Linked DNA regions of Sus scrofa. The protein of the gene in region 4 interacts with the protein of the main gene of each other region in a biochemical or structural test. Links are inferred from orthologs where the notes say so. Each region holds a gene or a part of one and is shown on either strand. Other genes may lie near its edges.

Region 1 (4,210 bases), on a different chromosome or scaffold from region 4:
CAATACAAAAATGAAACTCATATCAATTACAGCCTGAAAATCAATGATGAAAGGAGACATTTACCAGGCTAATTCCAAAGAGTTCATTTTCCTGTGCTGATGGAGGCTTCTTCTAGACATTAACAAGAATCTTTTTTTTTTTTTTTTTTTGAGGTATAGTTGAAGGATCTATTTTTGAAGCACTGAAAACATTATCTATCCACACCAGAATACTTTCATCCTTGGGCGGGGGGGGAATCCCTTTCACTCTAGTTATGAAAGGAACAGGAATTGTAGACAATGATAAATACCTTTTATTATCAACTATTAACCTTTCTAAGAAGGACGAATAGATGAAATGTTGCATTTAAGAAGCCCTAGGACTTTTTAAAATATCCTAGAACTAGCAAAAGTAGAGCAGTTTCATGTTTAAAAAGTGTACTTCCTACTACAGCAACCACCCAAGGGATAACAGTAACTTACAAGCCACTAAATGACACTAAAACATTACACTGAATGTGGGCCACTGCATAGTTACAGTCTACTGACCTCGATCGTGGTACGCATGTGTGATGCTATATTTAATGCATTCTTATCAAAAGGCTAAAGCTACATACTTCCCAACTGTAGCTTTATGGTTTAAAATAAACCACTCATGTAACCTGATCTTCCTTCTGACCATCAAGATCACAAATTAAGGAATGAAAAGATAGAAAGAATAGCAAAATGGTTATGCAAAGTATATCCCAATGACAAGGCTATCATAAGGAACTGAGTTTGGGTCGGTTGTGGTATTTGTTGCAATCGATTCAAACTGAGTCAAACATGAGAGATGGCCAAGCAAGATTTGTGTAGGCATAAGCATTCCATGCATTCATCTATTTATTGATCCTCCATTCCGTGGCTTGCTTAGGTTCTACACAATAAGTTTGGTAGACAACAAACTTATGTGTGTTACTCAACAGAGGGTGCTCCACCAAAGTTGGCCACGACTCAAAGGCCTAAGCCTACACAGCCAATGCATTAGGCCTCTTTACCAGGTGTGGAAGGGTGGCTTCCTACAGCTGAGCTGCGGAACAACCCAAGAAGCTTGTTCTACTTGGGTCAACACCGAGAAGAAAACCAGGAGAAAGGCCTTGCCCAACGACAGCTGGGAGAAGAAACCCGAAGTTGCGGTTTTCTTGGGATACTCACCAGACGACACCAAAGGCTCCATATCCAATAGGTCTATCCGGCTCAATATCCAGCTGCTGTTGTGGATGATGCGAGTGCTGATGATGGTGCGCCTTAACTGTGGCAGCTGCGGCAGCCTGTACCTGAGCTGGGGCTGCTGCAGCTGGTCCAGGAGCCTGACCCGGTGCCGGTGATGGGAAATATGGCTGTTGTTGCCCAGGGTTTAACATGGCTGCAGCTGCGGCCGCTGCTGCGGCTGCCGCAGCTGCCGACGAGGTATGCTGCTGTACGGGGTGGACAGCAGCAGCCGACCCGGGATGAAGATGGTGCTGAGGGTGGTGGTGGTGGTGAAGGTGAGGAGGAGGGAGGTGTGGAAGGTGGTGGTGATGGTGGTGGTGGTGCCCTGCTGCTGCCGCAGATGTACCGCCATTGTAAGCCGCCATCATTTTTGCGTTGGCTCTTGCGCCACAAAGAGACATTCAAAAAAAAAATGCCCTTTGATTGGAAAGCAAACTGGGTCAAGCTGTCATTTGGCCATTTAAAAATGAAGAAAAGAACCCACTCACTCCACCTCCAAAAACATGGAGCGGAACTGGCTTTATGTCTTCATCAGTCAATCCAGACAAGTGAGCGGATCGTGGTGTTCAATTTGGGGGTGAGAGTGTGTGGAAGAGTGTGGGTTGCCCCCAAAAAAAATAAAAAAGAAAAAAGAAAAAGAAAAGAAAAAGGGAAAAGGGACCCCTTCCCCCCAGGTTTCCTGCCACAAGTGGGTACTAAAACTCCATCCTTAACTCGGGGGAGGTTCCAACTTTGACTGTGGGAATAAAGGCCAAACCTCCCGACCCCCCGAACTCCACACACGAAAAGGATCAGGTAACACACCACCCTTGGAATCCTGTAAGAGGCTTGACTCATCTACCCCTTCCATTCCCACATCCTTTTCTAAACACCTACCACCTCCTCAAAAATGCAACTGAAAAAAATTCCAACCACCCCAAAGTGAAAGGATGGGGGGAAATGTTCAGGGAAACCAGCTTTCCCCCTCGAACTCTCAGGCCTTCCTACATCTCCCCCTACTCCTCGTCAGGCTGACCTGACTGGAGGGGAGGGGGGGGGCTACTAAACTTTCCCGAACAGAAAAGAGCCAGGGAAGGAGGCAGGAGGGACCGAGTGAGCAGAGGAGGCGACAGGGCAGGACTGAGAGGAGAAAGAGAACCGGGGCAAAGTGAAGGTAAGGAGGTGCGGGGAGGAATGAAAGAGAGGTGGGCAGCACTCGGACGCCCAGACAGAGGGAACCGCCCCGGGAGGAGGTTGGGGTCCTGGGGCCAAAGAATGGGAGCCCCGGGAGGCGGGCGGGGTGCAGTCGGAAGCGGGCTGACTCCTGCCCCCGCCGCCGGCTGCTTCTGCTGAGGAGGGTTGGGGGGGAGAGCGGGTGGGTCCCCCCGCGCGACGGCCCCCGTAGGGCTCAAGGCTGCTCCGTCTCCCCCCCTCCCCCCCACCCGGCTTCGGTCCCGCGGCCGCTTTCTCCTTAGCCGCCACCGCCGCTTTCTCCTCTGCCGCCGCCTCCTCAGCCGCTGGTGCCGCCGCGGCCGGACTCACCTCCCCTAGCAAAGCCGGATAGAGCGGAGCCAGCGGCGGACACGCGCAACCAGCCGCCGAGGCCCCGCCCCCGCCTCACACTGACCGGCTGCCCTAGCCAATCCACGCCCACCTGTCCGCATCCGCCTCCAATCCTGGGCCGGGAGATTCAGACAGGCGCACTGCTCGGCCAGTGGCGACAAGGTGTGGGTCTCCTGGGGAAATCCCGCCCCGACCTGGGATGGGCAGATCGAAAGACCAATCAAAAGGAAGAGTTTAGCCTGACCGACAAGGCCAAAAGCGAATTAAACACCAAAGATCTCCGTGACATTTTCTTTCGCCTCTCTCCTCTTTTCTTTTTCTTCTTTTATTTTTTTGGCAGGAGCAGGAAGCTGCGTGCTAATCCCGCCTGCCAAAGCTGATGGAATGAAAGAACCAATCGTGAACCGGGGACCAAGAACAGAGCAACCAATCCTTGGCTTGGAGAGGAAGTGGGTTGAGACTGGGGCCAGATAGACACTTGATATGACAAATGAAAAAAAAAATTGCTCTCGGTCCCACCCTTCAGGTCTCCTATAGGTCAGGATTGTGGAGAATTCGCTGTCATATCAGCGACGACCTCCTCAGGGGGCGTGGCAAGATGAAAATGGGTGTGGTCTAAAGAAAGGGGCGGGACCTAGTCGAAGAAGGCGGAGTCCAAATCGTCTCTGGTCCATTGATAGCAGCCCTCTACTATCCCTTTTAAAGAAATCAGGTGTGGAGAAATAGGGGGAGCAAAAGGGGATGTCGAGCTTGTTAGGAAACTCAACCAAAGTTACTCAACAAGACAGGCACAAAAGAAATTCAGTAGACTGACAGTTCATATCCAGTAGCTGGTTCTCCATGTCTCATCCTCATAGCGGCAAAAAGACATGTTATTTCTAGTTTTCAGGAATATACGCTCATTGAACTATAGGCTATTGATACAAATTAAAACAAAAATGATTACCCACAAAGACTAATTTCTCCCATATTTTCTAAGTCAATGAGTTCTAGCTATTGAAATCTTAACTAAAATAACATCTTTCACTTTCACAAAATTTACTTACCTGAATTTACCTTTCTTTAAAAATATGAAATAATACGCATACAGAATCTTACCCTTACTAAAACTGTGCACTCAGAACCCCGGAGATTGTCTTTGATTTTTTTTTTTTTTTTTTTTTTTTTTTGTCTTTTGCCATTTCTTGGGCCGCTCTTGTGGCATATGGAGGTTCCCAGGCTAGGGGTCTAATCGGAGCCGTAGCTACCGGCCTACACCAGAGCCACAGCAACGCGGGATGGGAGCTGTGTCTGCAACCTTACACCACAGCTCAAGGCAACACCAGATCCTTAATCCACTGAGCAAGGCCAGGGATTGAACCCACAGCCTCATGGTTCCTAGTCGGGTTCGTTAACCACTGAACCATGACGGGAACTCCCTCTTTTCTTTTTTCTAAAT
Region 2 (3,509 bases), on a different chromosome or scaffold from region 4:
GGGCTTTCTGATTATTGACATTTTGTCTACTTGAAGATAATAATCTCTAGAGCTTGACGCATACCTGCCCACACCATGTTTATCAGGTAGGGAGGACTTCATCCCACTTAATTGCGTAGTTACGTGGCCTATTTGGTCAGGGAGTTAAAAACAAAGGTTTTAAAAGGAAACAACAATTGTAGAAGTAACTTTGCAGGTACAGTTTTCAAACTTTGAGACTTTTTGAGTTGGCACAGATAGTACAGCCTGTGCCTTCAACTGGAGGTTGTACAAAGGCTAGGTTTTGGTGGAATCCAGGGCAGCAAACTTTGATTCCGGGAAGGAAATAGGAGTGAACTGATGACCACGAGGAGAAATCAGTCTTCTGTGTAGATCTGAGGTTTTGACAGATTTTTTTCATTCTTGGCGTCAGACCAGGTCTGCACCTAGAAGAAAAAGAATAGTTGCTTAGTGGATACCCTGAACTGTTTACTGGATTCATTTTCCCTATTAAATGCAAGGACAAAGCTTTTGGGTGTTTACCTAGATAGTTTATGGCTTTTCCAAATTGGTCTGTGTTTTTACTTGAAGTGCAAATATGTGAGGCAGATGTTAAAACAAGTGACATAATGTTTACATTAAGTTGCCTGTTTTGTTTTTGTAGCCTTAAATTGGAATGTGAGAAACTGGCAAGTGAAAAGACAGAAATGCAGAGGCACTACGTGATGGTAGGTATCAAAAATTAAGCTTTTTCCTTTGCATGTAATATTAACAAATATGTGTTCTGAGCATTGCAAAACACGAGTTAATGAAATGCTTGGTTCTTTTTCCTTTTTACAGTATTATGAAATGTCATATGGATTAAACATAGAAATGCATAAACAGGTAAGCTTTAGTTAAATCTCAAGTTGAAATGATAAATAAGTCATGATTTTATAGTACTGGCTTTGACTTCAGCAGTGGGGGGATTTGTATGCCGCTATTCAGCCTTGGTTTCCCTTCCTGCGAATTGGTGGTGGTATTCTGCAGCAGGAGTTGCTTCTTAATAGTTGTAGAATGTTTAAGTTACTAGATGAGAGGTGCTTTGGAAGTGTAAACTAGCCTGTTTATAGGCACATAGGAATTGAGGCTCTGCTTGACTTTTCTGTGTGGATACACTGTTCTCTTGAAAGATTTCGGTATCCTGTAGAGTTCTGAAGTTCAGAATAACTAATGTTTTTGTGCTGATTTGGAAAGAAGTGTAGACCTGTAGGGGAAAGAAAGGTCTTCCGGAGTTTCTTTATTCAGGTTATGCAGGTAAATGATTTACCTGGGGGTTCTCTCTATGCTTTGGGGCTACAAAAAGCGACACTCAGGATTAGTGGCTTATTAGCAAACATCATTTTGAAAAATGTCTCAGTTGATACAGGTTTAGAGGGGAAAAAAGCATCCTTTTATGACCACAGCATATGTTGGGAGTCTCTCCAGTCCTGGTGGTTTTAAAAGCATGAAAAGATTAGTGACTGGAAAGCTCGAGCTATGACTATGAGTTTGCAAGTTCCCATAAAATTCACACTTATGGCTACTATAATGGTGTATAAAAAGAGTATTGAGCTGGAACAAGGCACTAAGGACCTCATAAGAGAAGAAAAGCTAAATGATTGCTCAGCCCAAAGGACCCTCGATTGAGTAGTCATTGTCTGCCAAAGAAAGCATTAATGGCAGGGTGTAAGTATTCTGGAGATATGCTGACATTCACTTTTTCATCAAGACTCCGGTACAATAAGTCTTTTAGAAATCGATTGCCTCTTAAAAAATTATCATCAGATGAAGTTGCACAGTTGGACACATTTCAAAGTGCAACAATACAATTCTTACTTGATGTATATGTGCTATTTCATCTCAAACCCTTGTTTCATTAAATTAAAGAGCATGGCTGACCGGCTGGGGCACAGTGGAGAAATTGATTAGTTCAGCCTTCAGATCTTCCTCATATTCAAAGACTTTCATTAAGCAAGTGTGTTTCAGAGTTGAATTCTGCTTTTGTAACTCTGGGCTCTTTGATTTTTAATTCATCATAGATTTTGTAATGTTATCGTGTACATTAGATCTGTTCTCAGATATATGTTTGGAAGAAGATAGTTATGTTCGGGACCTTTCATTAACGGTATAATTGGGTCTTTAAAAGTGCTGATTTTATTCTGATTTGCAAAGTTGGTAGCCTAGTTTATGTTGGGTTTGTGCTTTTGTTTCTGAGAGCTTAAAGGGCTAGTGCCTGATTGAGGCAATTGTAACTTGTTGATAGTAATTGAGCTAGAAGATCTGTGGTCATTTAAAAGAATTATGCAAATAAAATTGGTTGAAGAGTTCTGACCTGCCACTTCTTAAAAAGTTACCCTAAAGGCACTTATTTTTCTTTTTTTGCTAACACATATTCTGGAAGCATAAGAGGAGATTGAGTTTTCTCTTACACTCACAAGCTCAAAGGGTTTAATAACCTCACGACGCCATACAAGGGAGCCCCACCTCTGTGATGTTGTGGGCTGGTGCTGGATTTATTGGGGTAACTACGGAGAGGTGTGAAATTCTTCTGGGTTCCTGTAGGTTACTTGGTGGAGTGACCTCTTCTTTATCGCACAGGAAGAAGGAAGAAGGGGTGAGGAGGGTCAGGAACCCCATGGTGTGAAAATAGTTTTCTAATGAGTTTCTGTACTCCACTGGGCATTTGTGGGTATATATTGTCTGTCCATGAGCCACTGTGCATTAATAATATGCTGTGTATAATTGGCTCAGTAATTTGAAAAATGTGAAAAGCTGAGAGACGTAGGGTTCTTCGTAGTAGAATATTAAGCCCCCTGAAATTTAGTTTATATTGTAAATGCTGACAGACCCTTAACTAGAGTGGTGTGCAGAGCGGTGCTGTAATTCAGTTTAAAGTGGCCTTACATTTGAAAAACATCCTTCTGAATGTCACACATTAATAATAAGTTCTGAGGAGGCATTTGGTGCAGCTAGTAATCATAATTCTTATTAAAACTGGTGACGTCTGGCCCCCAGGGTGTAGCCAGGCTCAAATTGATGCTTTTTGCCGCCTGATCACCAGCATGGCCTAAGTGCTCATTATATTGTAGAGAGGGCCTTTGCAGCTCTCATTAGATTTGACAGGAATTCTCTCTAGGGGGAAACTGGGCATTAGTGAGACTCCTGACAGGCTGAAATTAGTCCTGCTTTATGGCTTATAACCAAATGCTAGCAAGGCATCATCAGGGGACACAAAAAATTGTCATTTCTGACAACATCTTTGTTACTGCAAAAAAAAAAAAAAAAAAAAAAAAAAGCAGTGATGGGGAAACTTTAATGTTGTTAAGATTTGTCTCTAATGTGACGACCCGCTCTACTCCCCACCTTTCAGCGGCTTTGTCGGAGTGAGTTTGAGAGATTTCAGTGTCAAATCTCACCACTGACTTTTCCGGCTGGAAGTTTTAAAGTGGAAGTGCGTCCACATCAAGAATGGTATAATTGTGGTTTCCTTACTTGGTTTGGTGCCCACA
Region 3 (4,290 bases), on a different chromosome or scaffold from region 4:
GCCAAGGGAGACAAGGTGACCCAGCGGCGTGGGCACAAAAACCAGGGATGGAAATCCACTTTGTCTGGATCCACCCAAGCGACTGGGTTTCCCTAATTGAAAAAGATGGAAAAAAAAAAAAATCTGCCTCAGCACTAGGTCCTTGCCAGACAGGTAGAAGACGGCCCAGTCCTAAGAGAATCATGAGAAGGCCAAGTTAACCTGAACTCTCAGAAACACCTGAAGTGTCCAATACCTCGGGCTGCAGAGGACTTTGAAAGAGGAAAAGACAGACCACAGCTGTGCTTCCCCAGAGGGCAAACTCCTACTAAGGCAAGGGAGAACAAGGCCTCTCCTCCAGGCTGTCACTAGCCCAGAGGCCGACACTGGCAATGTTACCAACAAAGATCCTAGGGGCCCATCCCTCTGGCTAACACAGCTTTAGCGGTCAGCAAAGAATGTATTCCAAAGCTTCAAAGTGCAGAGCAGCCTGGCCTAGCAGAAGGAGCACATTTGGTCAGAATCCCGTTACTACACCAAGCTTTTTCACCTCTCGCCTCCAAAGTTTTCTCAACTTTAAAAACAAGATAAATCTTAGGCCTAATTGCCTTATCTATTTTCCAGGAGTTTCTTTTTCTTGCTCTCATAAAACCACGTGAAAGACCTTGGTAAACTGTAAAACGCTTTACACAGCTGCTCATTTTATAATTGATACTTTTTTTTTTTCCTGTTTCAAGGCATAAAGCCCTTGCCCTCAAGGCACCGAGACAGGTAAGAAGGCAGGTTTTGCAAACCCCTCCCCAGGCGGGAGAAGTATGACATCTGTTCGCCCTACTCCTTGACCCTCATCCAAAGGAATAAAGAAGAATTAAGCACCAGGGCTGGGACCAGGACCTAGGGCTCACTGACCATCACATCACACCACCTCCTCTGAAGTCAATTCTGGCTCCTGATCACACGCCCAGAACACACTTCCCAGACAGCACATTGCCTTCCCTCCCGCTTTATTGACTGGATCCACCCAGTTTTGAAAAAAAAAATTATTATTTTTCAAGTCAGCACTCCCACCATATGCAGCATTTATTTCCAGGGGAGGCCTGCCCTGGGTTCCCGTGGACAGATGTTGCTTTGTGCCTGCCTGACACGGCTGGCAGCCTTTATACAGCTGCCCCAAGCAGGTGGCCAAGGACGGAGTTCACTCCTGGCCCCAGCAGCAAGGATGGCAATTTCTGTGGGGTGCAGGCCCTGGGGACCCTCCACTCAATCCTCTGCAGCCCAGGACCCAAAGGACATCTCCCCCACCCCACCCCACCCTGCCCCCCCACACACACACTTTCTCTCTCTCTCTCTCTCTCTCTCACACACACACACACACACACACACACACACACACACACACTCCCTTGGAGCAGAATCGGACTTCTAAAGGGGGCTGGCTGAGAGGGAAAGACAGGAGACTATGGTGCCCCCACACCCCAATTCCCAGCCAGGCGCAGCGAAGCTAAAAGAAGGCCCTGGGGAGTGGAGAGAAGTCACTGACCCCTTCTATCAGCCATCTGTGAGCTCCCGCCTGACCTAGCTAGCGCAAAGTGGAGGATAAAGGAGGTCCAGACAGATGGCACAGCGCTTTGGGAAGGAAGGCTCTGTAGGAATGCGAGGGCCGAGGCGAGGCCCCCCTTTGGGGTGCGTTTTGTTATCTCCTCAGTTCTCAGCCCCCCGCGTTTTGCAGCCACTCGCAATCTATGGCTGAAAGGTGGGCCAAAAAACAGTCGGGGGAGAAGACCCTACCCTCTGCCACTTATCTCTCTCATTTGAAAGTCAGACCACCCCACTGCAAGTAAAGTGCGTGTGTGTGCGGAGGGGGCGGGAGACTGGCACAACCGAATCTAAAAATACTCGATAAAAATGCTAATCCCGAAGGCAAAGAGAGAACGAAGAAGGAATCTGTCAATCACGAGGCTCCCGCTCCTCACCCACAGCCCCAGCTGTACGGACTGCATTCCTGCCGAGGAGGAAAGAAGTGGGGGGACAGGGATGAAGAAAAGAAAGGGAGAGACACCACCACCTCCACGAGCGCGGGCCGCGGGGGCGGGAGGCGGCGGCGGAGGAGGGGCTCCGGCCCGCGGAGCTGAACAAAGCGGGCCTCAAGTTCTAGCCCGCAGCTCCCCCGGGGTGGGGGCCGCCGATTCCAGCAGCACCCGCTTTCCCGGAGGTGAAAAGCGAATACGAGGTCTGGGAGCGCGAATGCCGTGTGGAAGCCTCAGGCTCTGAATCTCTGCAAATCCAGAGAAGGTTTTGTTTGGGGTCCCCCGCTTTCCTGTCTGTGTTCCCACCGCCCCCCCCCTACACACACACGGGCACCCAGGCCACCCCTCCGTTCCAACCCCCCGCCACGCCAGGGGGCTGGGCGGGCGCGCCCCAGGGTCCCTCGGGCCCCCACCTGGGGATGGTGATGCACTTGGTGTTGACGTTCTGCGTGGTGATGGCCTTCTCCAGTTCGTCCAGCTGCCCCGTCTTCTTGAGCTTCTTGACCAAACTCTTGACCGCCTTCTCGCACCACTTCTCCTCCTGCCCGTTCTGCTCACCCTTCTTCCAGCCCAGCAGGCGTTTCACGATCGGGGGCGTGAAGGGCAGGATGGACGACATGGCTGGGGAGGGCGCGCGGGCGGCGAGGGGCGCCCCCGGCGGGGCTGGGCGCGGCGGAACGCCGGGGGCGCAGCGGGGAGCTCGGCCGGGCTGGCCGCGGCCGCCCAAACTTCGCCTCAACTCTCGGCGAACTTGCCGGTGCTCCCGGCCGGGCCGCGGCGCTGCAGCCTGCGGGGCTCGGCGTGCGGCCCTGTGCCCCGGGCGGCTCCCTCGGTGAGGAGAAGAGCGGCGGGGAGAAGGGCGGGCGGCAGCGGCACGGGATCGGGAAGGCCCCGGACGCGGGGCGGAGGCGGCGGCCGCGGGGCTCCGAGTGGCAGAAGAAAGTTTGGGTTTCCGCACGGGGTGGCTGTTTGGGTGCCGCCTCCAGGAAGGAAAGTCCAACCCTCAGCCAAACTTTGCTCGCCTCGCTCGCTTTGATGCGCAGATCCCTCCGCCTCGGCAGCCTCGCCTCCCTGCTGCCCTCCTCCTTCCCGGCTCTCTCGCTCGCTCGCTGGGCCGGCCCGGGGCGTGCGCCGCGCTCCCGCTCCCGCTCCCGCCCGCTCCCAGTCTGTGTTTCATGCAAATCCGCGTGCAGCCTCCTTTCCAAGCGCTGTCACCGCCCCCTTGCCGCCGGGGCTCCCCGCCTCCTCCCCCGCGCCCCGCCGCCTCCTCCCGCGGGCGCCCTGCCCGCCCCCCGCCTCCGGGAGGGCGCCGGGCCGTCCCCCGCCCGGCGCGGAGCACGCCCACGTGGGCGACCGGGGGCTGCGGCGGACCTGGCTGGAGCTCGCAAGACCCCGCGCGGCCCTGACCTGAATCCGGCGGGCGCCGGGAGGAAGTCGTGGGAAAGGAGCGGCGAGAGGGGCCCCGGACGGGAGGGCCGGGCTCGGGCCGTGGCGTCCGCTCTCGGAACCCACACTAAGAAAGTTCAGTTGGCGTGGCGGGCCCGAGAGGGTTAGGCTCGCACGAACGCACGACGTCTGGCCGCAGGCTGGCCGTGCATCCCTGGGAGGACCCGGGTCCGAGAGAGGGCGTGCGCAAAGCTGAGGCCCAGGAAGGCTGGCAGCGCACTGGTATGCGGGCACGCGAATCCCGGTTAGGGACCTTGGTGGCGCCGGTGACTCTAGGGCTCCTTTAATTCTAGCACCGGTGAGATCTTACCGGTTTAGAGCCCCGAGACCGTGCGAAGGAGGGATTAGGAAGGGGCTCGCTCTCAGAAGTGGAGATTCGGGGACCCTAGTGACTCCCTGTATAATAACTGGAGCCAGGGGGTCCCAGGGGCCTTGGGAAACAAGTGCCCAGCAGAAAACGGGCCTCAAAGGTATCCGTTGAGTTCAGGACGGGGCGCTTCAGAATTTATCTTTGGAGGAAAAGTTTCATTACAGGGTATTTGGAATCTTATGATGAGCAAAGAGCCGAAATTCAACACCCTATAAATAGAAGGCAAGAGCTTTGTTTTCAAAGCTGTGAACTTGCAAAAAAGTGGGGCAAGAGGGCAGTACCGGGGAACCTTATGTATTCCAAATTAGCTCTGGTGGGAAGCAAAGAAATACCAAGATATTGGGGGCCCTCTGGGGCTTCTCTCCCCAGAAGCACAATTCAAGGGCATCTGCCCCCAGACCCCTCCTGCAGCTGCTTTCAGGAGTTACCCCAGGACCCCAGGGCCTTTCTCCTGCTGCCCCTCCCCTA
Region 4 (4,292 bases):
GGGAGTGGTATTACTGTCTTACCGTCATCAGGGTGTTCTCTGGCCTTGTCATGGTAGGACTCCTGAGAGCTCTGTGCTTGTCTGGCCACCTAACAGCATGAATCCCCACCCACAAAAGAAAGAAAATCACCTTAGAGTTTGTGACAAAAGTGCTATGTGTATCCACTGGTAACTCGAGGAGGAGGAGGATTAGGTGCAACTCAATCTACTTATTCTATTAATCTATGAGGATAGGCTAGGGCTGACTACTGAGAAATCTTTTTTTCAGCATACATTTTTGAGAATTATCTGCCCAGGACTGGAAAGCATAAAGAAAATAGTAACAAAAACAAATTTGGGAACAATTCATATACTATTCTGACTGCTATTTGCTAAAACACATCAAGGCTGCTTGGATGCCTAAATATGATAGGAATTTGAGTTAACGGGGTTGGTCGTTTTGATAGCTTCTTCACAACCACTGTTTACTTCAATCAGATCTGATTAAAGGAGGGCTGAAATATCACTTTGCAACTGAAAATGACATTTTAAATAAAAACAAGCCCACCACTCACAAAAGGGGGTTTTAGGCAACTGTCCCAAACTGGTTGCAGCAGGAGCTCCACCCCTTATAACCTACCATGGCTGGTTGAGTGCAAGCTTACAAGAGAAAAGTGAACTATTTTGTGGTTAAAGGGAGGAAAATTTGAGAGTAAGGCTACAGACACGTAAAAGGCAGCCCAGTTAATATCAGCTCTGTAACCACCATCCACCCAGCCTCAACCACGTGCAAATCAGTGGTATTACCCTTTCACCATTTTTCTTGGGTCTGCCCCATGCCCACTCACCACCAGCAAAGATGAACAGAGCCCTAGTACCTAGGGGTTCTGGGCTTCAAATGCAGTGCCCTTCTCCCCAATGCAGACACAGGTAGACGATGTGAAGCGGGTGGCGAATTTATTTATAGCAAAAGGACGTACAAACAAAATGAGTAGAAATTTTAAAAGGCCACTCTACAAATATGAGTTTGGCCTCGAGTGTTGTGGATGTTATTTGGTTCTTTAACACGTGTCCTCCTGGTAACCTCCCCCCAATGAACACACAATCACAAATCTTTTAAGCAGATTTGGGGGCATCCTCTCCGCTGCCACGGCCTCCCTCGCCCCCTCCCGCACAATTGGCACGTTGGGATGAAAGATTTAGGGGACAGAACATCCCTACATTCTCTTTAGAACCCAGGCTCCCAGGCCCCCGACTTCCAAAATGCGTACTCACCCCTGCCATTGGGATAAAGAAGGTAACTCAGAGGTGTTCTTAAACTTGCTGTTTAAAACCCAAAATGTCCCCGCCCCCAAAACCTCACACGCCTTCTTTTTGGGGGCAGAAGGATGCCATTTAAGGAAAAAGGATATACCCTCCGAATTTCTTTGGAGGGAAAAAGCGTTGGTGAAATCTTCTGAATGTCAGGACTTTTCTACCGGATTTCCTCCAAAGCGTTTCCCAGTTGTTGAACAAGGGTGGCCAGTGCAGTGTCGGGTATCAGGGTCCATCCGCTCTCCCGCTCCCCCACCCCCAAAGCTCTCAGCTCGGCCTGAAATAGCCCTTCCGCGAGGTCCAGCTCTCGGCTTTCTCTCGCCAGCACCCACGTGTCTCTATTTACTCTACTCGGGTTACCAACGCTATCGCCCGCAGCGGGCCAGAGATCTGATAACGTGCTTTCCACTCTCCCCTGAGTGGGTGCCCTGGCTTCCGCCGCATCTCGACTCTGGCTCGCCTTTCTTTTGCATAGATTTAAGGCCTGATCCGGGCCCAAACTAACCCCCAATATAAACTTTTTTTTTTTTTTTTTCAATTCTTTAAGTGGCTGTGGGTGGAGAAAACTAGCGTTGCGGACCTTACTGCGAGTGCCCCCGCCCTGGGGTGGTTCCGCTCGGCGCGCCCACGGCTCCCCACAGCCAGCCCCGGCACTGGGACTCGGGCGGCGGCAAGGACCGGGTCCCGCACCGCCCCCGCCGCGCGCCCCGCTGGGCGCGAGCCTGGCTCCGCGGCGGTTGGGATGGCCCCGCCTGTCCTCGGCCCACGCCCGCCTCCCCTTCCTTTCTGCCTGTGGCTCTGCTCGTTTCTACCTAAGCTTTTGGTGGTTTAACGCATTTTTGCAGAGACATCTATCGAGAGAGCGGGTGCACTTTGTTTTCCGTCCTACGGAAGAACTTCTCAGTAGTGCTGTTCAGACATCCTCGCTTTAATGCATCGCACATTCTCAACCCCACGAAAACGTCTGAAGGCGAAACGTTATGGGTTAAGGGCCGCAAACCAACAGTTTAGTCACAGAACCCCAAAACGGATCCATTTTGAATGTTTTCCTGCATCCCCCTCCACCTCACACACGCACAAACGAAGAACGTTGACCAAAGTAGCCCAGCCCCTCACCCCATCCCACCTCGGCCCCAGGAGACCTGCTGGGGACCCATCAGCTGGGGCTGTCCAGAGCCTTCCCTCCCTGCTCTTCCCCCGGACCCGCCACGCCGCTCTGGGCAGCGGCCCGCTCACCTCGTGTCCGTTGCTCGCCGGGATGATTTCGGACTCGTTAACCAAGGAGGACTTGATGTCGGCTAAGTCACCTTCCTCTTCAGGGTGACTGATCTCAGCGAAAATCTTCTCTTTCTGGGGATCGCCCTCGTCCTTGAAGGGGATCATCTCGTCCGTGGCGCAGAGTTCCGGGTCCCCCCCGCCGCCGCCTGCCCCGGAGAGTTGGGGCATCCCGACCACTCTGTAATCTCCGCTCCGCTGGGGGAGCACCCCAGGCGACAGCAGAAGAGAGAAAGGGTAAAGGAAAGGTGGGGGAGGAGAAGGAGAATTGGAAGGGTGTGTGAGGGACGACAGCAGGCGGAAGCCGGGCTGGCGAGCGCAGGGCTGGCGGCCGGCAGCCTGAGCAACTGCAGCGGCGTCCGCGTCCCGGCGGCCGTCCGCGTCTTCCCACTCGGCCGAGACCCACGCCGGCACCCGTCCGCGAGGCCGAAGGACACAGGGCTGCGAGGGCCGCCGCTGCCGGCGCCTCTGGGGGCGTCTGCGCCGTGCAGCGTGGCGCACGCTAGGCTAGACTGCCCGGGCGGCCACCCGACGCCCCCAGCGTCTCCCGGGTCGTAGGAGGTTCGAGTCTCCGAAGTGCAGAGGAGGGTCCGCCGGCGCGTCTCTACGCAAATCTCTCCACCTCAGCTCCCCCGGAGGCCGATCTGGGAGTTTGTTTCCCGGAAAAATAAGGGACTCGGGCAAAACGGCTCCGTTTGCCCCAGTAGAGACGGTGCAAGGAGAATCAGAAGATAATGAATGTCCACTTCCTGGAGAGCAAAAAAAAAAAAAAAAAAAAAAAAAAGCCACCAGGGTTGGAGATGTCCGTTTTAGAGCTTCTTGTTTCCTTCCCTTTCGCTTCGGTTTTCCTTCTCCAGGCGAATTTAATCTGCCGGAGGAGAAGGTGGGGGCGGAGGAGGAGGGGAAGAAAAGGAAAAGAAGTTTGCCAAGAATAAAGTTTGTGCGTGCAAGCTCAGGGAGTCGGCAGTGGAGGGCACGGCTGGGTCTCGGGGAGTCACAGCAGGGACCGCGGACCCAAAAGCTTCTGCCCGGAGCTGGAGCCGAAACACACACAGCCCGACCCCTCTTTGTTCCCGGCTCGAGTTTCTCAGTCTGGCTCGCTCGCTGGCTCGCTGCTCTCCACGCCTCCGCCCGGCCGCTTGTCAAAGCAAAGAGCTGCACCCCTCGGGTTCGCCCGGCCCGGGGGAGGGGGACGCCCAGAGCTTGGCGGCTTGCGGGGCTACGGGCGCGTCCTGGCTCTTCGGCCTGAGAGCGCGCAGCCTGATCCCTCCTCCGCGCCCGGCCCCGCAGGTGAGCGGCTGCGCCTCCCCACCGCTTCTCCTCCTCCCGCGCCTCGCCGGCGCTGAAAAGCTACCCACTTGCGTCGCTTCTCCTCCCCTTCCCCTCCCCCGCCTCCAGCTTTCCTTGGCTGCCCGCTGGGAGGGAGGAGGGGGACGGCGAGAAGGAGCTGGTGATTGAGGACTTTTTTCTTTTCCCAGAGCCTGTAGGACTAGTCCTAGTTTTGGGGTGTGTATGTCTGTGTGTGTGTGTGTGTGTGCGCGAGAGAGAGAGAGAGAGAGAGAGAGAGAGAGGGAGCGCGCGCGCGCGTGCGGAGAGCGCCTAGAAAGAAGATTCAGGCAACTTGGCGAAGGAAGGATCCCGCGCTTCTTGTGACCCAAGGAAGGCACGTTTTTGCCCGCGTGAAACTGACAAGAAACTGCGGGAATGGTTTATTAACTTCATCA
Region 5 (4,309 bases), on a different chromosome or scaffold from region 4:
AACAGTTTACATTTTATTTATGAAAATTTGTGTATTTTAAGCACTGTTTAATAACAGAAATCAACTTAGGAAAAAATGTTGGATCATTTCCCTGGTAATTTTTTCATCATGAGACATAATGAAGAAAATAACCCTGCTCAGAGCTTTCTCAATTAAAAAAAAAAAAGTCAGTGAGGGAAAAAAAAAAGCCCTGAAGTCATCAGGAAGGTGTGATTAGCCACTAATATAGATCCTCATTACAAAGTGTCACATCCTTGGGCTGTCGAGTCATTCAATACCTGCATGCACGACGCTCGTGAATGCGTGTTCATACTTGGGCATTCGCTCTCCGCCCTGTTTTGTTCTTCAAACTTATAAAATCCCTGCAAAAACACAAGCAAAAACAGCCCATGACTTGGATTTGCAAGTGACTTTTTCCAGGACATGTTCACAGGAGGCTGATGGTGCAGCAACAAGATGAACTAAGCTTCCCAATAAGGTGGAATCTGACCGAGAAAGGAAATAAGGAAGGAAGAACTTGCATCAAATCAGCTTGAGAGATGACAAACATGGACAGAGAAGAAACAGATGGTTGGTTTGGGCAAAAGGGAAAAGATTTAGTCCCTCTAGAAATTAAAATCAATCAAACTTCAGATGAGTCACCTCTGAAATCACATAAATATTTCAGAGGACAAACTCCATAAAAATGAAGCTCATTGTCTCAGAATTTGGAAATAAGAGCCATTAACTCAAAACTCTCCTCTGGATTTGGATGCTTCAAATTTTGATGGAACTATTAGCCTGAGGTATGTTTGAGTCTTGTCTCCAATCCAGCCTTTGCACAAGCAGATTTCACCAGCAGCGGCAATTTTATTAGGAAACCAAATTCACCCAGCAAGGAAACCTCGGCCTTTTTGTTAAATTCTCATGTGCTCTAGTCTTCCAATCCAGCCACGCACATTCTGGGCTTTTTTTTTTTTTCCCCTTCCCAAATCTGGGAGAAATAAAAATAATATTCCAGACATTTACAACAAGCGGAACTTCTAAACCGCCTGTCCAACACCTTTTCTATTTTTGCTGCCCCTTTTCCACCTTCCCTTCTCTCCCTGCATTTTCACTGCTTTGTCAACGGAAAGGCATGGAAGAGAACACTCAGCTAAGGAAGCGGAAACGGGGTGGGAGAAAAAGTGTCCTCGCCTCCACCTTCCGCTCCGAGGGGGCCAGGTCTTCCGCCAGGAGCTAGAACCCAGTAACCCGGTGACGGTGACGGGGAGAAGAGGCTGGAGGGTGACAGCTGGCATGGGGAATCAGAGACAAGGGCCGGTGAAGCGGGCCGCACGGACAGATTAGAGTCCACAGTCAAGTGCGGAAGGAAGATCCAACAGACAGTCATTTAGTGGAAGAAGGAGGAGAGGGGAGGAGACATGAATTACCTCTTTTTCACAGTTGGAGTTAAGTGTAAGCATAGCCATGGGGCTGTTGGGTGCGCTGCTCCCCGGCACCGGTGGCATGACATGGTCGCCAGGCTGGTTTGGACATGGCAAGCTCAGGACTTGGTTGGCATGTTTATTTGCTAAAGTGGTAGAAAGGTACTGCTTTACCTGCTGCCTTTGGGCTTGCTGTATGTGGTACTTGGTGGGGTTTTCGAGGTGGGTCTGCACCTGAACATAGCCACGGAGGAAGAGAAGAGAGCGCTGTTATTGGTGAGTTTCGGACAGCTCTTCTTTCAGGCACAAACATGAGACGGGCAGGTCCACCAACAGAAGAGATTTTTAAGCCCCTGTTAGGTACCAGGCACTGGGCTAATGGATTTTGATATTACTGAAGTTTAAAGGCTAACTCTCAGGATTTGGGGTAATACTTTGCCCTGTTTCATTTCCCTGTTAATTAGCAGTCCATCTCTTTAAAACCTTGTGCCTTCTTCTCAGATCTAATAACTCAACATTTGCAACTATGTAGAGGGCAAAAATTTCCCCCAACACACCTAAGAGGGCTTATTAAGACCAAAACAATAATTTAAAAGAAGGAGCATAACTTGATTTATTTCACTATTCTTTGGCAAACAAAACAGCTTTCTGTTTAAAAGAAAGAAAGAAAAGAAAACCTCCTTAAGAAACAACTGTAAAGTTGTTGAAGAACAGAAACAGAAACATTCCAATGATTAAATCAAATAGCTGTGGATTAATTCTTCCCACTTTCACTTGGACATGATTAGTTAATATTTTAATTAAGATCTTAAACTCAACATAAAAAGCAATTCCACGTTAAGTAGTTTCTTTCAAACATTCTATGCATGTGTTTTTGAAAGCATGAGTATTGAGCTACCAGGATCATTTTCCCTTCTTCTTTACAAATATTAATGCAGAATAAGAAGCTTTTTTAAAAAAAATCAATGACACTCAATTTAAAGTCACTTTTGCCTTGATAAACACAATTTAATCTGATGAGCTATGAACAGGAAGGAGCTGATGGAGAGAGCAAAGCCATGTACTGGGGGCCGGGGGGTGGGGGGAGGGAATCCAACTAATATTTACTTTGTTCAAAACTACATTGACTTACTGCTTATGGTACCAAACAATAAACAGCATTAAACTGGAGACACGTACTTACTGACAACTGTGGGTCTACAAAAGCAACAATGAAAAGGTGAAACATTCAGTTTAATGATTACATTTCAGAGACCGAATATGAATAAGAACAAAGCTCACCTGATAGTGATTATATTCTAGCATTTCCAGCATAACCACGCTTTAGGCGGCCCCAATCCAATGAGAAATGGTGGACTATTCACTCCCTCTACTTTTTGCAATTCCGATTTGTAGACTGGCATAGAGAAGGCACTATAAACAAGGGATCCCGAGACACCACCGGAAACTTTATCACAGCAGCTCTGCTTATAATAACCTAAGCTAATTAGTTATGCACGTAAAAAAAAAAAAAAGTTCACACAAGAGGGTTTTTTTTTTTTTTTTTGGAAGCCCTAGAGTTTGCTCTTAAATATTGGTATCAACCCCCTCTCAACCCCACCCAGTCTGACGTCATGCTTTTTTTCATAAATATAAAAGAACCTTTTTAAGTGATGAACTATCAAAGTCAAACTCACTGTCAGATCAAGGCCAATTCACTATTCATCTTTAGTTCCAGTAGTATTAATAGACAATGCTATTGCTCTTTCAGCCTTAGGTTAAGAGCTAAATGCCCCCCCCTCCTGTGGAGAACACTGCCTAAAAGCTACACATGAGACTTTTCTAAGGGCCCAAGAACACAGCCACTTCTGACTACGGCAAGAGCATCTTTTAGTATGGAGGAGTCTCTGTTGAACTTTCAAGTGCAACAGCCTCATCCTGCATCCTGGTCTCAATGTGCATCTTATTCTCAGCTGGATATATGTACAAACATCCTACTGACCTTGTATGAGCAAGAGCAGAAGCAATTCTAAATCACAGAGGAAAAACACACACAGGCTATTTTGGATATAGATTTTTAGGTGGAAAATAAGAAATACACATCTTCTCATTTGAACCCCCAAATTAGAAAGCATAAAAAAAATTTCACTTAAAAGTATTTTAATATAATTCTTGGGGCTAGAGAAGAATAACACTTATCATATACACACACCTGATGCATTCATATATCTACTCATGTATTCCTTCCATTATTTACTGTTATTATGTGCTAAATAAACACTGTACAAGGCACAACAGACACACTGTGAACAAGTATATATGATTGCCAGTGTTATGACACTTAGAATCTGGGGGAAAAGGGTAAAGGAAGGAAAAAGGCAAACAAATATACATATATCTCAAAATTACAATAATGGCCGATTTTCACTGCTGAAATGGTGAGGTATTTTAAGCACAAGAATTTGAAATGCAATAATTCCATACCAGTGCCTGGGATAATGAAGTCCTTTAGTTGACAATCTCAAATTGTTTCAAATGACTGATCTAACATGCACACGGAGGTTCACAGAGACATTGTGAGTTTCATAAAGGGTCCAGACACGATAATGATGAGGACAATAGACATTACTAAAATAAACATCAAATGAGGGCAATGGGTGTAATGTGCTTATTTCACTATGTCACTTAAAAAAGAAAGGGCTGCACATTTAAAAATAAATGTTAATTCACTGGCAGATCCTTATTCTTTAATGAATCAGAATTTCAGGCTTTAGCAAGGAAAGAAGCAACTTATTCTCTATTTGGCACTGTCGGTGAGGTCTTTACTACAACTAAGTTGGGGTTATCAGAGTAAGCTTTTATTGTCAGTGCCTTTTTAAATAATTGAGGATAGATTGGTTATAAACACCTAGAGAAGACAGAAC

The links.
Region 1: of the proteins of LEF1 (region 4) and NLK, one has a biochemical effect on the other in vitro, tested with the Homo sapiens proteins (4 studies listed by BioGRID). The link is inferred for Sus scrofa from reciprocal best matches to the Homo sapiens genes LEF1 and NLK.
Region 2: the proteins of LEF1 (region 4) and transducin-like enhancer protein 1 form a complex in vitro, tested with the Homo sapiens proteins (2 studies listed by BioGRID and IntAct, with this or other methods). The link is inferred for Sus scrofa from reciprocal best matches to the Homo sapiens genes LEF1 and TLE1.
Region 3: the proteins of LEF1 (region 4) and SMAD3 form a complex in vitro, tested with the Homo sapiens proteins (2 studies listed by BioGRID, with this or other methods). The link is inferred for Sus scrofa from reciprocal best matches to the Homo sapiens genes LEF1 and SMAD3.
Region 5: the proteins of LEF1 (region 4) and MITF form a complex in vitro, tested with the Homo sapiens proteins (2 studies listed by BioGRID). The link is inferred for Sus scrofa from reciprocal best matches to the Homo sapiens genes LEF1 and MITF.

The regions. Positions count from the first base shown.
Region 1 is NC_010454.4:44,401,586-44,405,795, reverse strand, and holds the start of NLK (serine/threonine-protein kinase NLK), read right to left. Parts: upstream 2,807-4,210; 5' UTR 1,632-2,806; coding exon 1,174-1,631; intron 1-1,173. UniProt on the Homo sapiens protein: Serine/threonine-protein kinase that regulates a number of transcription factors with key roles in cell fate determination. Positive effector of the non-canonical Wnt signaling pathway, acting downstream of WNT5A, MAP3K7/TAK1 and HIPK2.
Region 2 is NC_010443.5:234,364,110-234,367,618, reverse strand, and holds part of transducin-like enhancer protein 1, read left to right. Parts: intron 1-643; coding exon 644-707; intron 708-819; coding exon 820-864; intron 865-3,509. UniProt on the Homo sapiens protein: Transcriptional corepressor that binds to a number of transcription factors. Inhibits NF-kappa-B-regulated gene expression. Inhibits the transcriptional activation mediated by FOXA2, and by CTNNB1 and TCF family members in Wnt signaling.
Region 3 is NC_010443.5:164,996,974-165,001,263, reverse strand, and holds the start of SMAD3 (mothers against decapentaplegic homolog 3), read right to left. Parts: upstream 2,808-4,290; 5' UTR 2,626-2,807; coding exon 2,420-2,625; intron 1-2,419. UniProt on the Homo sapiens protein: Receptor-regulated SMAD (R-SMAD) that is an intracellular signal transducer and transcriptional modulator activated by TGF-beta (transforming growth factor) and activin type 1 receptor kinases.
Region 4 is NC_010450.4:113,824,963-113,829,254, reverse strand, and holds the start of LEF1 (lymphoid enhancer-binding factor 1), read right to left. Parts: upstream 2,802-4,292; 5' UTR 2,740-2,801; coding exon 2,530-2,739; intron 1,825-2,529; exon of another isoform or gene 1,264-1,824; coding exon of another isoform or gene 1,255-1,263; intron 90-1,254; coding exon 23-89; intron 1-22. UniProt on the Homo sapiens protein: Transcription factor that binds DNA in a sequence-specific manner. Participates in the Wnt signaling pathway. Activates transcription of target genes in the presence of CTNNB1 and EP300.
Region 5 is NC_010455.5:51,384,057-51,388,365, reverse strand, and holds the start of MITF (microphthalmia-associated transcription factor), read right to left. Parts: upstream 2,809-4,309; 5' UTR 2,721-2,808; coding exon 2,688-2,720; intron 1,641-2,687; coding exon 1,413-1,640; intron 363-1,412; coding exon 279-362; intron 1-278. UniProt on the Homo sapiens protein: Transcription factor that acts as a master regulator of melanocyte survival and differentiation as well as melanosome biogenesis.